Stegostoma tigrinum: one gene and its partner. The protein of the gene in region 1 interacts with the protein of each later gene in a biochemical or structural test. Links are inferred from orthologs where the notes say so. Each region holds a gene or a part of one and is shown on either strand. Other genes may lie near its edges.

Evidence for each region.
Region 2: the proteins of map2k7 (region 1) and growth arrest and DNA damage-inducible protein GADD45 beta-like form a complex in vitro, tested with the Homo sapiens proteins (2 studies listed by BioGRID and IntAct). The link is inferred for Stegostoma tigrinum from reciprocal best matches to the Homo sapiens genes MAP2K7 and GADD45B.

The regions. Positions count from the first base shown.
Region 1 is NC_081388.1:1,330,567-1,339,332, reverse strand, and holds the start of map2k7 (dual specificity mitogen-activated protein kinase kinase 7), read left to right. Parts: upstream 1-5,115; 5' UTR 5,116-5,149; coding exon 5,150-5,285; intron 5,286-8,766. UniProt on the Homo sapiens protein: Dual specificity protein kinase which acts as an essential component of the MAP kinase signal transduction pathway. Essential component of the stress-activated protein kinase/c-Jun N-terminal kinase (SAP/JNK) signaling pathway.
Region 2 is NC_081383.1:7,331,172-7,339,650, forward strand, and holds growth arrest and DNA damage-inducible protein GADD45 beta-like, read left to right. Parts: upstream 1-5,027; 5' UTR 5,028-5,210; coding exon 5,211-5,254; intron 5,255-5,412; coding exon 5,413-5,514; intron 5,515-5,666; coding exon 5,667-5,880; intron 5,881-6,214; coding exon 6,215-6,328; 3' UTR 6,329-7,207; downstream 7,208-8,479.

The DNA of each region.
Region 1 (8,766 bases):
TTGCTGCTCTGAGATGTCCTTGACCCTGACACCAGTGAGGCAACACTCCATCCTGAAGTCTTGCTCATGACTGCAGAAATGCCAATCCATGCCCCTAACTAGAGAGTTGCCAATCACAATTGTTCGCTTGGACTTTGCCATACCCTATTTTACAGCAGAGCCAGTCGTGGTTTCCCAAGACCTGGACTAGCAAGGGAATAGGAGGAAGCAGGGGTGAGCTGGTGGTGTGGTGGGATGGTAGATGCAGCAGGAGCTAGTGGAGGGGGCAGTAGGTCTAAGAGGAAGGGCAGAGAAAGGGGAACAGGAATGGCTGAGGAAGTGTGAGAGAGGCAAAGGGACTGTCAGAGGATGTGGCAGGGGGAAGAGAGGGGGGAATGAAGGTGAGAGAGCTGGAACAGAATAAGTGGGAGGAGATTAGGGTTGGGTGCAAGAGGTCATGGGGGCAGAAGAGTGGGTCTGCAGAGAATGTATGGAGATGGGAGCAAATGGGCAGAGGAGGGCAGGAGCAGGATCAGTGGAAGAGTGGTTTAGAGAAGAGGCATAAGGACATATGGAATGAAAAGGGGGAGGTTGCAGCAGTGCAGTGTTACACTGGACAATGTTTTACTGGATAGTGTTTTACTGTAAACTGCCTTGTATTGGAGACAGGGTTTTACTTGTTAGTCTTTAACTGGATGGCGTTTTAGTGGAAAACAGCCCACCAACTCGCACAGCTACCTCGACTACACCTCCACTCACCCACCTTTCTCCAAGGATGCGATCCCCTATTCCCAACTCCTCCACCTCCGCCACATCATTTATGGATGGCACGGTGGCTCAGTGGTTAGCACTGCAGCCTCACAGCTCCAGGGACCTGGGTTTGATTCCCGCCTCGGGTGACTATCTCTGTGGAGTTTGCACATTCTCCCCGTGTCTGCATGGGTTTCTTCCGGGTGCTCCAGTTTCCTCCCACAGTCCAAAAATGTGCAGGCTAGGTGGATACACCATGCTAAATTGCCCGTAGTGTTCACGGGTGTGTTGGTTATAGGGGGATGGGTCTGGGTGGGATGCTCCAAGCGGCGGTGTGGACTTGTTGGGCCCAAGGTCCTGTTTCCACACGGTAGGGAATCTAATCTGCTCCCAAGATGAAGTGTTCCAGTCCCAGACATCCCAGATGTTCTTGTTTTTCAAGGGCTGCAATTTCCTGCTCACAGTGGTTGAAAATGCCCTCGACCGCAGCTCTTGCGTTTCCCACATATCAGCCCTCACACCCCCTCCCCGCAATAAAAACAGTCAGAATTCCCCTCGTCCTCAAGTATCACCCCATTAACCTCCGGATTCAACGCATCATTCTCTGCCACTTGCGCCACCTGCAATCTGACACCACAACAAAGGATATAGTTCCCTCCCTATCTTTATCTGCCTTCTGGAGGGCCTGCTTTCTCCGCAACTCCCTTGTCTGCTCCACGCTGCCCACTAACCCCATCACCCCCGGTAGCTTTCCCTGCAAGCACAGGAGGTGCTACACCTGCCCCTACACCACCCCCTCACCTCCATCCCAGGCCCCAAGAAAACCTTCCACGTTAAACAGATGTTCACCCACACATCCGCTAATGTAGTATGTTGTATCTGCTGTTCCCAATGTGGTCTCCTCTACATCAGGGAGACCAAGCAAAGGCTCAGAGACTGCTTTATGGAGCACTTACACTTGGTTTGCGACAAACAACAACACTTCCCAGTCACGAACAACTTCAACTCCCCCTCCCACTCCCTGGATGACATGTCCATCCTAGGCCTTCTCCAGTGTCACAATGATGCCACCCAAAAACTGGTGGAACAGCACCTCATATTCTGCCTTGGAACCCTCCACCCCAATGGTCTCAATGTGGACTTTACAAGCTTCAAAATCTCCCCACTCCCAACCTCATCTCAAGACCAGCACCCCCTCTCATTCCTGCCCGTCTTCCCTCCCACCTACCTGCCCCTCCCTCCTCATTGACCAACCCCCATCCCAACTTCCTACCTACACTTACCTTTACAAGCTTCATCCCCACTTCCTTGAGCTGTCCATCTTCTTGCCACCTATCTGCTCCACAATCCACCTTCTATCAGCACCTCCCCCTCTCTCTATTTATTTCAGAGCCCCCTTCCCCTCCTCCATTTCTGAAGAAGTGTCCAGACCCAAAATGTCAGCTTTCTTTATCCTTTGATGCTGCCTGGCCTGTTGTGTTCATCCAGCTCCACACCTTGTTATCTCTGACTCCAGCATCAGCAGTTCCTACTATCTCAGAGTTTTCTTGGATCATTTTATTTGGTGTTTTTCAATACGAGGGAATACACAATGAATGGTAAGATCGAGGATCAGACAGTTCTTGGTGTACATGTACGCTGCTCCCTCAAGATGTCGGGACACGTGGATAAAGTGACTGAAAATTAGTTGAGGTAAAGAGTGTACAAGCAGTGAGATTATGCTGGAACTGCATAAAACATTGGTTAGTCCATAGCTAGTGTTCAGTTCTCAAGTCCACATTATAGAAGGGATGTGATAGCACCGGAGATTTACCAGGATGTTGCCTGGGCTGGAGAGTTTAAATTATGAACGGAGATTGGGCACACTGGGGTTGTTTTCTTTAAAGCAGTGGAAATTGAGAAGGGATATGATTGAGATGTGTAAAATTATGAGGGGCATAGATAGGGCAGAGAAGAAAGATTTCTCTTGATGGAGGGATTGATGATTGGGGCATGCTTTTTTGTTATTCATTGGTGGGATGTAGACATTGCTGTCTGGCCAGCATTTATTACCTGTCCCTAGTTGCCGTTGAGAAAGTAGTCATGAGCTACCTTCTTGAACTGCTGCAGTCCGCTGGATTCACTCACAATGCCATTAGGGAGGGATTTCCAGATTTTGACCCAGCAACAGTGAAGGCTGGATGATATATTTCCATGTCATTGTGGTGAGGGGCTTGGACGGGAACTCGAAGGTGGTGGTGTCCTCATAAGACCATAAAACATAGGAGTGGAAGTAAGGCCATTTGGCCCATCAAGTCCACTCCACCATTTAAATCATGGCTGATGGGCATTTCAACTCCACTTCCCTGCACTCTCCCTGTAGCCCTTGATTCCTTGTGAGATCAAGAATTTATCGATCTCTGCCTTGAAGGCATCTAATGTCCCGGCCTCCACTGCACACCATGGCAACGAATTCCACAAGCCCACCACACTCTGGCTGAAGAAATGTCTCCTCATTTCCATTTTAAATTTACCCCCTCTAATTCTAAGGCTGTGTCCATGGATCCTAGTCTCTCCGCCTAAGGAAACAACTTCCCAGCGTCCACCCTTTCTAAGCCATACATTATCTTGTAAGTTTCTATTAGATCCCCCCTCAACCTTCTAAACTCTAATGAATACAATCCAAGGATCCTTAGCCGTTCATCGTACATTAAACCTACCATTCCAGTATCATGTATCTGCTGCCCTTGTCCTTCTAGATGGATTTGGCTCGTGGGTTTGGAAGGTGCTGTCTAAGGATCTTTACAAATTTCTGCAGTGCATCTTGTAGACACTGCCGCTACTAAGCATTGATGGTGAAGGGAGTTTGCCCCCTGATACTCATTGATTCCAGTTTTGCTAGGGCTCCTTGATACCCCACTCAGTTGAATGCAGCCTTGCTGTCACTCTCACCTCACTTCATTTAAGGTAAAGGGCAGGGCAGAGGGTTTACAGGATACAGGAGGGAAATCCTTTTTAGCCAGTAGATGGTAGGAATCTAGAACTCTGCCAGTTAAGGTGGTACAGCCATAAACAGTGTGTACCAAACAATACTGAATAATATTGTACATTGAGGAATGGTGTAAATTGAATAATATATTGGATAACAGTATGCATTGAATAATGTTACATATTGCATAGTGGCAGATATTTGACAGTCATGTATATTTGGTACTGGTTTATGTTGTACAGTGATGGATATTGAATTGAATTAGCTTTATTGTCATATGTACTCACACGAGTACAGTGAAAAGTTTACAAGTCACCACTTACGGCACCTTCTTAGGTATGAAGGTAGCTAGGTACAAATCCTTGGGTACAAAGTTCTTAGGAAAAAAATTAGAAAAGAAATAAAAAAAAATTGGCACTTCAGACCTTGACAAGTAAACAGAAAAATAAAGAAATAAAAGGTTCAGAATAACAGACCTGCCACAATAATATAGCAAAGAAAAATGCATTGAAAAGTGAATTTTATACAAAGTCCCTTTAGTCCATTTCACAGCTCTGGACTACAGGACCCGAACCTGCCATTGGAATCCTGGGCTGGGCCAACCACAATGCCAAAACAAAAATGCCGTATGGAGTCACAGACTGACTGAAGCTCCCAGAAAGAAACCCACACAGACACCAACAAAAACAGCCACTGAAGTTGTCAAAAGGACACCAGATCAACATTGTCTGTTTCATATATTGCATAGTGAATAATGAATTGTATAGTGGTATATATTTAGAAGTACTGTATATTTGAAAATAACATTTGGTGGTGTACATTGGACAGCATTCTTTATTACTTAATGCTATATAACGGTGGATGTTGGACCACATTGTATCTAAATAATGTATATTGCACAATGCACATATTGAACCATATTGGATAAGGTGTATAAGTTAGGCAAAAAAACACAGTTTCTAGAATCCAAACGTAGACAAACAGGAGGCTGAAAGAACACAGCAGGCCTAGCATAATGTGGAGGAAAGCAGCAAGCAATGTTTCAGGTATTACCCTTCTTCAGGACTTTGTTTCATAGTATGGTCGAGGAGCTGAAGAGGTCACAGCAGCGTGGCTCACTGAGCTCACATCTGAGAGAAGCAGAGAACTTCAAAGTGGGCATCCTTTGAAGAGCCTTCACAGTGGTACAACTTGGTTCGAGCCAAAAAAACCCTGCAGATTCTGGAATCGAAGGCAGACAAGTAGGAGGCTGGAAGAAGAACACTACGCCAGGTAGTATCTGGAAGAAAGGAAAAGTCAACCTTTCAAGTATTAACCTTCTTCAGGACAACGCATTTCAAAGTGTATGGCGGTAAATTGCTGTGGTTTGTATTTGGCTTGTAGTGGGGGATGGGCGCAGTGCGAGCTGGCTGCCGGCGCCTGCGCACTGGCCGCTCCCTGTATCGCGCTAAGATGGCGGCGTCCTCCCTGGAGCAGAAGCTGTCGCGCCTAGAAGCCAAGCTAAAACAGGAGAACCGGGAAGCGCGGCGACGTATCGACCTGTCGCTCGACATGAGCTCGCCTTCCAGCCCGAGGAGACCCAGACCCAGTAAGCGAACAGTGCTGTACTGTGGCCTGTGACCAGGAACAGTTTGTGTGGGGTCCGGGGCCCCCTACGCTCCGGATCCGGCCGCGGCCCCGCCGCCTTACAGCGGAAACACGCGTGCGTCACCCTACTGGGCGGGGCGGTCGCTGATTGATAGCCGCCTCAGTCAATGGGAACGGGATATGGCTGCTGGAGCTGGTGTCATTCCGCGGCTCGGTCGAATCACAGCACGGCGGAGGGCAGGGTTAGTTTGAAGTGGGTGGAGGATTCTGAGCTGCGGCCGTTAGATCAGGAACCTTTCCTTTGGATTGGAGAGGCAACTGTCCTCTCCTCCCAGGAACCGAGGAAAGCTCCCCACAGAGTGAGGTTTCCACCGCTCCAACTGTCTGCAGCCCTGGGCTGGGCCGTCATCTGCCGGCAGCTCCTCTGTAGAGTGGGGCGTCGCTGTCTGGTTGACAGCTGTCTCTGCCAATTGCTTCGCAGTGTGACCCATCAATCAGGATGCTTATCCAATCGACAGTGGGGAAGGGGCGGCACCTCCGGGTAGACCGTGAGTGTGAGCGGAAGTTGCTCCCTGGGCCTCTGATTATTGTTTATTTGCGAACAGTGGCTTCGAGCGACTAAGGTTTCCCCCTTCCTCGCTCTAGCCGTGGGAATTGTCAGGGCGTGTGTTGGTGTTAGGATCGCAGTTCTAAGCCCCCTCCCCCCAACATTTCCCGGGTCTGACACCCTATCACAATTGCTTGGGCTTCGAGAAGTCAGCTCATTGTCAACCCCCTACCCATCCAGCAACACCTCTTCTTCATGCAGAATCTTTAATATGGGAAACATAATATGCCATTTTAACAGAAAACTGGCAATTCGTGATAGGCTAAGTAATTTATTGAACGGGATAGCTACTGAGTTATTTTGAAGGAAGGGAGACTCAGGGTTTTAGCTCAGGAACATTTGCAAAATTGTATTCATTCAACTCGGCACAGTGTGCTCCTATGGGTTTTCAAATGACTGTGACTTAACTCACTACTAAGGTAGATGTATCTTCATGTGCTGATTGCTTGGAATAGCGTGTATGTATTGACTTGTGAACTTTCAAGCTTTTTTTTGCTGAATCAGATGTTTTCCCCCAACAAATGCAAAACATAGATTTTCTGAGAAAGTAGGAACTGCAGATGCTGGAGAATCTGAGATAACAAGGTGTAGAGCTGGATGAACACAGCAGGCCAAGCAGCATCAGAGGGGCAGGAAAGCTGACGTTTTGCATCGAGACCCTTCTTCAGAAAATAGATTTTCTGAGGTAGATTCCGTGTATTTGGATGTAGTGATTGCTACAAGCATAGGAATTAAGAGCAGAAGTAGGCCATTTGGTACTTAAGGCCTTCTTGCCGTTTGACACAATGATGGTTTGCCTGTGTCATAGCTCTACTCGTACATTATCCAACCTACAATAACTTGTATTGAAATTCTCTCCAGTTAGAATTGCTGCTTACTAGTACTGGTACTGTAGCAGCGTAGAGTGTTTCTCGTTTGCAGTGTAATACGTCATCTTGATTGATGATCTGTGGTTGACCCCAACAACTGGCCAATAGTCATTTATACCTATAATATATAACAGGTCACTTCCTTCAGACAGGTTTCAGAAACAATTAACCAAGTTTTGACTGTGATAAAAAGTGTTTACTGTTACTGAATATATTAAGAACCTGAGTAATGCCTTTTTCTTTTAGTGTGTATTTATTTAGCAAGTCAGTAATTAAAATCACTAACTGAGCCTTTTTACTTGGGTTGAACCTGTATAATGTCTTGCAAAACTGTAATTAACTCCACAGTACAGATCTTGTAAGATCAAAACAGTACTGTGATCACATTTACAGACTTTGTTAGCGAGGCTGCTTGTTCTGTAGTGTTTAATGTCAGTGTTAGTTATGAAGAGAGTACACGTTGTAGGCAGGGCACTTGCATGGCAAAGAAGGGGTGTCAGTCTTATTTTCACTGTGATTATGCAACAATGCCATTGGTGTAGAAGAGTTCTAAAACACAGTTTTCTAATGTAGAAAGTTGGATTAACAGTTTGTGGAAGCTGTTGGGCTGGGTTAGGTTAATCATTTGATATGTGGACAGTTTTTTGGAGGCGACTGCTTGTTTTGGTGCCTACGTGTAACTGTTTCTGAAACTACTACATAATGTGAGTGTAAATTTAAAATGTTTAAATTGCTTGAGGAAAAAGAAGCCCAAATTTTTTTGATTGTTGTGTTGCTGTTTGTGTCAGATTTTTTTTAAAGACCTGTCTTTTCTTCACCAACTGTAACCAATAAATCTATCTGTCATTTCAGGGGTGGAATGGGGAATCGAAGTATTGTTTGGATGGCTTAGTGACTGTTGTAAGTTTAAGATTGACTGACTTACATTTCTGTAGATTTTCCCTGTCAGAAATGCTTTATACCAATTCACAAAGAATTCATTTGAACTTGAGTGCCTGTAGTATATTTGGAACACATTACTGCATGCATCAACATAGCCAAGCAAGAAAAAAAATCTTTGCTTTGGGCAAAATAACTTTCACATCCGCCATCCTATTGTAAGAGCATCACCAGGTGTTAGGAGCTGTCCCATCTCTTCCTTATATGGAGGCCTAGTTATAGGGGGAAAAAAACGTTCTTTGGAAAATAAGCTGTTGGAATGGAAATTTAGGAAGTCCAAATTATTACAGTAGAAAGAGTGGAGGCAGGTTCAAACTAGTGAAAGGTATGTTTTTGGACTGATTCCAAGAGATCCTTTATGCACGATGATCAAATAGAACTTCATAGAATAGCAGTGAAGGGAACTGTGGCATTTCAAAATAGACAAATGGATAAAGTAGACTCGGTGATATCCTTGTACTTTATGGTTCTTTGAATGTTTGTGTAATCCAATGTTGTGAAAAAGATGGATACTTGGGAGGGTAGTGTGAAATGGTTATTGTTATTATAGACCATGTTATATTATGCATTCAAATCCTTTAAAAACTTATATATGAATGTTGGCTGTGGCAGCTATGATAGTCCTGCTGAAAGTGATAATTGTATGAATCAGGACATTGATGCTTAGTGATAATATACAATAACTGAAAAGACTCTGTATGATACTACAGGTGCTTTGAGGTCTAAGGCAAATGATGAAAGGTCTTAACTAGTCTCTGTTCACAATTAGTGCCCTAGATGTCCCAAGCAATAGACTGCATAGTGTTTTAACCTGTGGCAACTTCAGCCATGCACATTGCAGGCTGAATTTTTTCAAAAATGACCTATTCAGTGGGGTGAAAGTTTTTCTTTGTTAAATGATGCTGTTTAGAAATAAATTTTTAGAATTCATTTTCAAGATAGTACTGGCAGTTCAATTTATTCTCCAAATTATGTTTTCCTGAGAAGTTTGAGCAACTTTGAGTTGAATAATGGCTTGCTACACCAGAATAGACCACATTGGTGTGGGGCTGCATTGAATGCTTAAC
Region 2 (8,479 bases), on another chromosome or scaffold:
CTCCACACCTTGTTATCTAGGATAACTCCTTGGCTCTTCTTCAAAATAGTGCCACAGAATACTCGACTTTCAATGAAGAGTGCATTGGTTTACTGTCTCATCCAAAAGCAAGTGCTGGATTCACAATCTGAATTGTATGATTTGACTGCCTTCAAAGAAAATTAATTTGTATCAAAATTCTCAAAACATTGACTTCACATTGCTATTAGTGCTATATTAAAGGGATTGGTTAGCTCAGTTGGCTGGACAGCTTGTTTCTGATGCAGTTTGATACCAACAGCATGAGTTCAATTCCTGTACTGGCTGTGGTTACAATGAAGGATTGTCTTCTCAACTTTCACCTTCCTGAAATATGGTGATCTTCACCAGTCATCTCTATCTAATGTGAGAGTAGGACTATAGCAACATCACCTTTTACTTTAGTGCCATGTTGGCAAAGGCCAACAGATGCAAAGTAAAAGAAAGATCCACAACTTTCCCCCCGCAGTGGTCGAGAACGCCCTTGACCGCGTCTCCCGCATTTCCCACAACACATCCCTCACACCCCGCCCCCGCCACTACCACTCCCAGAGAATCCCCCTCATTCTCACATACCACCCCACCAACCTCCGGATACAACGTATCATCCTCCGACACTTCCGCCATCTACAATCCGAACCCACCACCCAAGACATTTTTCCATCCCCACCCTTGTCTGCCTTCCGGAGAGAGCACTCTCTCCGCTACTCCCTTGTCCGCTCCACACTCCCCTCCAACCCCACCACACCCGGCACCTTCCCCTGCAACCGCAGGAAGTGCTACACTTGCCCCCACACCTCCTCCCTCACCCCTATCCCAGGCCCCAAGGTGACCTTCCATATCAAACAGATGTTCACCTGCACATCTGCCAATGTGGTATATTGTATCCATTGCACCCGGTGTGGCTTCCTCTACATTGGGGAAACCAAGCGGAGGCTTGGGGACCGCTTTGCAGAACACCTCCGCTCGGTTCACAACACACAACTGCACCTCCCAGTCGCAAACCATTTCAACTCCCCCTCCCATTCTTTAGATGACATGTCCATCATGGGCCTCCTGCAGTACCACAATGATGCCACGCGAAGGTTGCAGGAACAGCAACTCATATTCCGCTTGGGAACCCTGCACCCCAATGGTATCAATGTGGACTTCACAAGCTTCAAAATCTCCCCTTTCCCCACTGCATCCCAAAACCAGCCCAGTTCTTCCCCTCCCCCCACTGCACCACACAACCAAGCCAGCTCATCCCCTCCCCCCACCGCATCCCAAAACCAGTCTAACCTGTCTCTACTTCCCTAACCTGTTCTTCCTCTCACCCATCCTTTACTCCCACCTCAAGCCGAACCTCCATTTCCTACCTACCACCTCATCCCGCCTCCTTGACCTGTCCATCTTCCCTGGACTGACCTATCCCCTCCCTACCTCCTCACCTATACTCTCCTCTCTACCTATCTTGTTTTCTCTCCATCTTTGGTCCGCCTCCCCCTCTCTCCCTATTTATTCCAGAACCCTCACCCCATCCCCCTCTCTGATGAAGGGTCTAGGCCCGAAACGTCAGCTTTTGTGCTCCTGAGATGCTACTTGGCCTGCTGTGTTCATCCAGCTCCACACTTTGTTATCTTGGATTCTCCAGCATCTGCAGTTCCCATTATCACTGAGTTCTTAGCAGTGCACTTTATGAAGGATATGACCGCATTGGAGATTGTGGGTAGAAAAGATTCAGGAGGATGGTTCTAAGAATACATAAATTCAGTGGTGAAAACTGATTGGAGAGGTTGGTTCAGTTTTCCTAAAAGACTGAGAGGAGATTTGATAGAGGTATTGAAAATCATGAGGGTTTGAGACACTGCAAACAGAGAGAAGTTGTTCCCACTGAAGAAATGAAAGAGAATAAAAGATTTAAAATAATTAGCAAAGAATCAAAAGTGACATGAAGGTCTTCTTCAAACAGTTAAGCTGGAATTTATTGCCTGAGAATGAGGTAGAAGCATTCAAAAATGAATAAGACTGTAATCTGAAAAAGAAGAAACACAAGGTTACAGCGAGATGACCAAAGAATAACACTACGGGAATCACTTGTTTGGATAGCCGAGTAGACATAATGGGCCTAATAGCTTCCTTCAACACAGTAAAATTACGTGAATCTTCGATGGCTGCGTTATCGTGAACATTACCACCAGGTGGAGCAGTGAGGGCACACCCTCAGGAACCCGACATTGCAGTGTGACATTCTGAACCAATGATGGAGAGGTACATTATCAATGTGTTTTGTGTTTATATGGCAATAACTGATGAAAGAAAGAATCGTTTTGAAGCTTCTACCTGGACTGATAAATTACAGAACAAATTGGATAAAGAGGTGAAAGATGAAAGTGGAAGAGAGGGCCCACTCCAATCGGTTAACATGATGTGCAGGTCCCGGTGTTGGACTGGGATGGAGAAGGTCAGAAGTCACATGACACCAGGTTTTCGTCCGACAGCTTTATTTCAAGTTTTCTGGCTTCTTCGTCACTTCACCTGATAGATATTTTTAATCAACTTGTTCAGACATGTTCTGACATGTTATCGACACACTTTTGGAGCAGGTCAGATCTGAACTCTTTTGGCTCAGATAACAAAATGTGAGGCTGGATGAACACAGCAGGCCAAGCAGCATCTCAGGAGCACAAAAGCTGACGTTTCGGGCCTAGACCCTTCATCAGAGAGTGGGATGGGGTGAGGGTTCTGGAATAAATAGGGAGAGAGGGGGAGGCGGACCGAAGATGGAGAGAAAAGAAGATAGGTGGAGAGGAGAGTATAGGTGGGGAGATAGGGAGGGGATAGGTCAGTCCAGGGAAGACGGACAAGTCAAGGAGGTGGGATGAGGTTATTAGGTAGGAGATGGAGGTGCGGCTTGAGGTGGGAGGAAGGGATGGGTGAGAGGAAGAACAGGTTATGGAGGCAGAGACAGGTTGGACTGGTTTTGGGATGCAGTGGGTGGAGGGGAAGAGCTGGGCTGGTTGTGTGGTGCAGTGGGGGGAGGGGACGAACAGGGCTGGTTTTGGGATGCGGTGGGGGAAGGGGAGATTTTGAAGCTCAGAGTTGGAGAACTACCACTACATCACTAGAGTCCTCCCTTCATTGACAAAGTATCTTTCATCACCTGTGGACCTCTCAAATCAGTTTACAACCAATGAAGTACTTATGAAGCGTAATCACCGTTGTAATGTAGGAAGCATTAACTTTTGAAATGTTGCATTTCAAGTCATCGTTACTTTAAGTATATTCATTTATTTTGAAACCTTATAATGTGAATTGGTCTTCGAACTGGCAAAACGCTGCCCCTAAATAACATGTGTGAAGCTGGATGAACTCGTCAGCTTTTGTGCTCCTGAGATGCTGCTTGGCCTGCTGTGTTCATCCAGCTTCACACTGTTGTCTTGGATTCTCCAGCATCTGCAGTTCACATTATCTCTGCCCCTAAATAACATGATGTTGGAAAGTTACAATTTGTATGGTGCAAGTTATTCGTTTTCCTTCAGTTGAACGCCAGGTGGAACCAGTGAACTCATGTCAGAGGGAGTAGCAGGCAACAAGCTCGCCAGACGGCGCCCTTTGATTAGTTTTAAGGTTGCCCATTGTACGTATATTTATTTCTGATTTTGTTTACAAGCTGTGTTCGTTTTTCTTAACGACTTTCGGGGTGTGGAGAGGCCAAGGAAGGTGCATTGTTTGGAATTCCAACCATTTCTGAGGTTGTCTGTAATTTCACAAAGCACCAATCCTATGAGTTTCAACATGTTAACATACGACTGAACGTTACATGTGAACATACCAGATCTCTGCAAATGAATAGATTCGAAGAATAGATACAGTCACGAATACAACGAAGATGTTGATTGCATCTAATTTTCCAACAAATTTAGTGGCAGATATGTTTTTCCTTAATCACAGACTGCCCTAGGTGCCAAAGGATACCCGTAAACAATCAGGCTCATTGCAAAACTTCCCAGAAACGAAGGCTACGGCTGTACACAGTGACTTTGCAAAGCATTTCCTAATTTTCCCGTTTATTTTATATCTGTTCACTTTTGGAAAGTGCATTTAGCTGCTGCAGATAAATTATTGCTTGTGTAGTATATGATTTGTTTATGCGCTCGGCGGTTGGCAGGCGGAGTTTCCACTCAACTGGAAAACTTGTTACGTACGCGAAATATTCCCCGTCGGAAACTAGAGAGAAGAGAAACAGATTCTATTTCCAACTGGTTCTATTTGCTTTTAATCTCGGACTGAGTGTACTATTAAGAAGTAAAGTACATTTAGTTATGTTTTGAAATTTAGAACAGCGAAGCATATTACATTTCCTGGTGCACCAACCAGGGCAGTTTATAACAGCCGTTACACAAGATTTAATATTTAGTGTCACCTGCAATCCACACTCGAAACCTGCAAGACAGTGTGCTGCACAAAACTTCAGATTTTGATCTCGCTCAATAAAATGACATTCTTAAAAATGCAAATTGATGCAAACTTATGAAGCTTGTTAATGTCTCAACCTTTTTCGCCAAGAGCTTGCAATTAACTTCGAACAATTTGAGGCAATTATGACAATTTGCAGACAAGATGTTTTAGCTCAAATATTAAATGCAAAAAAAAGTTTTGAATTGCATTAAGTTGGCGATGAATGCGGCTGTGTGACTAATAAATAGTATCAGGGCTCTTGGATGGGAACTACCAGACAGCTCAGCATTATCATTATCTAATTTTACATTGCAACTGTGTGGTTTTATTCTAGAAGATTCATTCCAATACGGACACGACTGGCAGCTTCATAATGCCTTGTAGCACGCGAAACTGAGTCATCGAGAGGGAGAAAAAAATACGAAGGGAGAGAAACAAGAAAATTCCCAGAAAATACGCCATCTGGGCTCCCCTGTGGAGGACGTTTAATATTAATCGCCGGTCGGAAGAGCCAATCGCGAGAGCCGTATGCAGATGAGCCGGTGGGCGGCATGTAACCTTTTAAAAGCAGTGAACGCCGCCGAAGAGTCGCAGAACGAAGCAGAGAATAGAGTGCAGTGTCGTTTGAATGCGGATCTCGAGCTTTGGAGGATTGTTACAGTCAGTGGTAGAACGTTACAGCGAAGGAGACTTATCACTGGAGTCTTGAACCCGAGGGCTGTGTTTTTTACCTTGGATTTAATTACAACAACATGACTCTGGAAGATATTACTGGAACTGACAACACTAGCAAAAAGTAAGTTGCTAGAAAATCGATCGTTTGTAGTTGGTCTTAATGAGATCAAGCGGAAAGGATCGCGTATAGATAATCTATATCCGTAGGTTATGTAGTTTGCAGACTCTATTTTTTAAAATGAATATGTTGTAAGTATATATATTTTCATCTCTATCCAGAATGCAGCCAATTGATCAAGCTTTAGAAAAATTGTTGGTGACAGCACAACGCCAGGGCTACCTAACTGTTGGGGTTTACGAGTCGGCGAAGTTAATGAATGTGTAAGTATTGAACGGTTTTTTTTAACCTTCATAACAACTGGAACTAGTTGCGAACAACAACTTAAAAACTGCGATTTAGCATCCATTGACTTTCAGATTTTTGTTGTGCATCGTGATTCTAATCGCCCGTTCTACTCCTGTCCCATATGCAGTGACCCGGACAGTGTAGTCCTGTGTCTGCTGGCGGCCGATGAGGAAGATGAAGGCGACATCGCCTTGCAGATCCATTTCACCCTGATCCAGGCTTTCTGCTGCGAGAACGACATAAACATCGTGCGGTTGCGGGGAGTCAAGCGCTTGGAAGAACTTCTGGAGTCTGGGGACGAGACTGCTGAACCCCGGGACATGCACTGCATGCTAGTTACGGTAAGAATAGCCTGTTTCTTCCCTCCATCCCCGAGCTACAGTGCGCTGCAAAAATCTACGGTGTAGACACTATTAATATCTCTCCGACTTAAACATTGTAATAGTAAATAACTTGTGCATCCGAGATCTCTAACGGCATCAATCCGGATCAGATTGCTAATCTTTCTTCAAATTGTTACAATGGTATTTAGTCGATTCTGGCATTTCAGGGGTTAATCTTGCAATTTGTCGTAAAACGAAACGACAGCGTTTGGGCGGGTACAACTGACTGGAATTGACGTGCTGTTGTCGCTGACGCGATGTTTAATCGGGTTTTTTTTCGTTCTATTTCCAGAACTCTCATACTGATGTTTGGAAATGTGAGGCGTTGGAGGAAGTCGGAAGCTATTGCGAGGAAAGTAGAAACAAGAACCAGTGGGTTCCTACCGTGTCCCTGCAAGAACGCTGAAGGTTTCAAACCAGCTGAAGAAAAGGAAGCTGAGAAGAAGCGTCTTTAATTAAATGAGAAATGTATGCCGTTTTCTTCTACAAAAAGATGCGGGTGGATGAGGAAAAATCATGTTTGCAAAGGCATTTTTTTGTTTTATTTTTTAAAAAGAGAGAAAAGGTAAAGAAGACGGCATACCCGGCGGAAACTTGGCTGTTTTTTAGAGCGGCGAGTGGATTGCAATCCGCTCCCGGAACCGAGAAGACAGCTGCAGAGGAGGAGCTGGACTGGAGGTGTCGAAACCCGATTTGGAAATGGAATGAAGGAGAGATTTTCGAAGCAGGGCTCTTTTGTATCTAGATTTTTTTTGATAATAGACTGGACTGATGCAGAAAGTGGAAGAAAGGATCTGTGAAGACTAGAGTACAACAGGACTATAATCCTGGTGTGGAGGATAGATGGACGGTTTTGTTTTAAACAGTGGTTGGCCGGCCGGCCTCGCCCCCTCTCCATGACTGATGGAGTCTTTTATCCGCGTCCTACTGCAGGCGGAACGTGCGAGCTTGCACTGGAACTGCATTTTGGAGCTGTTTGCATTTCTTAAAGGGAGCTAGCTCCCCCCCACACGAGTTACCTGTACTGTTTCCTTTGTACACCAAGGGGATTTGCAGCAAATGTTAATTGGACTGTTGCACTTAGCTTCAATACTGGGATGTTTTGCATAGAACCCCAATGTTATGTAACGGGCATCGTGCAATTTAATTCTAAACTATTGATCTGAAATGTAGTATTTTTCAGCGTCTTATTTATAACGTTGTGATTTCCTCTCTTTTTTCTTGATTTATGTAAAAAAACCTCATTTCTATTACATTACAATAAATATTTTAACATTTAAAAGTATATACTCGTCTGACTTTTTTCTCCTTGTCATAACATCCACTGCTTTGGAGAAGTGGGATGAAATACTTGATTTTTTTTCTTAATAGTTGGCAGCAAACAACACTTTGAAAAGCTAATTAACAGCTCAGGATTGTACATGCCTGGTTTAGAGTTTGATCATCAAAAAAAAACACCAAGCTTTTACTGTTTCAGTCTGCCGTTTGACCTTTGGATACGCAAAATTAATCAGATTTTCACTTTTAGCCATGTCAAGAAAATTACAACTGTAGTTTTGGCAATGGAGGCCAGATTTTTGTCAAAGCTGCTCTGTTTGATTCAAAATTTAAATCAATGACTTAACTGCAGCTTCACACCTTCCTGCAAAGTGAATTAATGGCTTCATTTTGTAGACCATTTTAATTCCAGTTATAACTTTCCCAATGCACTCCTGATTGGAGTTGTGGGCTTCTTGGTGTTTCAATATATAGACAAGAATCCTGTAGTTTAAAGGTGGTGGGAACAGCTAATTCATCAAGACACCTTCATGTAAATGTATTTGCTTTTGAATTGACAAAGCAGATGTATTGGACTTCAATGATTCCTGTGTTCAGCCAACTCCCAATGGGAAGCTAAACTATAATGTATTAATGTTACAATTTGGATGTGGAATTGGTGATGGTGTTTGGGACTCTCAACAAATAACAGCCTTCTCAAGGAGGTACTCATGATGCAAAGCTGGCTCCAAGGTATTTTCAAATTGTAGCAGAAAAAAAGCAGTCACTAAAATATCACTTCTGTACAGTTGTTTTGACTGTGAAAATAAAACTGATGGTGAGCAATTTTTCTGATGAGCAATGCAGAGCCAGGAGTAAATGTTAAGTATGTTGCTCTACTGTTTTGAAAATCTTTGGGTCACAGTCCAAGTACCTGTGAATATAGATGTGTTTTCCTGCATGATAATTGTTAACTTATTCAAAGAGTCAATCTTTTAAATTGACAGTGTTCAAAATACATTTTGTGGAACTTGGCAGAAATTCTATTGGTCAGAGAAAATTCAGTGTAAGAGTGCAACCTTGCAAACTTCAGATTTTCCTCTGAACTACCAGTCCCAGTTGGCAGGATCAGTGAGGAATAATATTTTTCAGCCCTGTGATCGGGGCTCATGATAACAGAGGTCCCCAACTCAGATGTCACCCAATGTATCTTCTTTACAAACTGCAGGGGTGCCAACAATAGTGGCTGTCTGCATTGACATAGTGGAAAAGCCATGATCATATAAAATGGAGTAGGGCT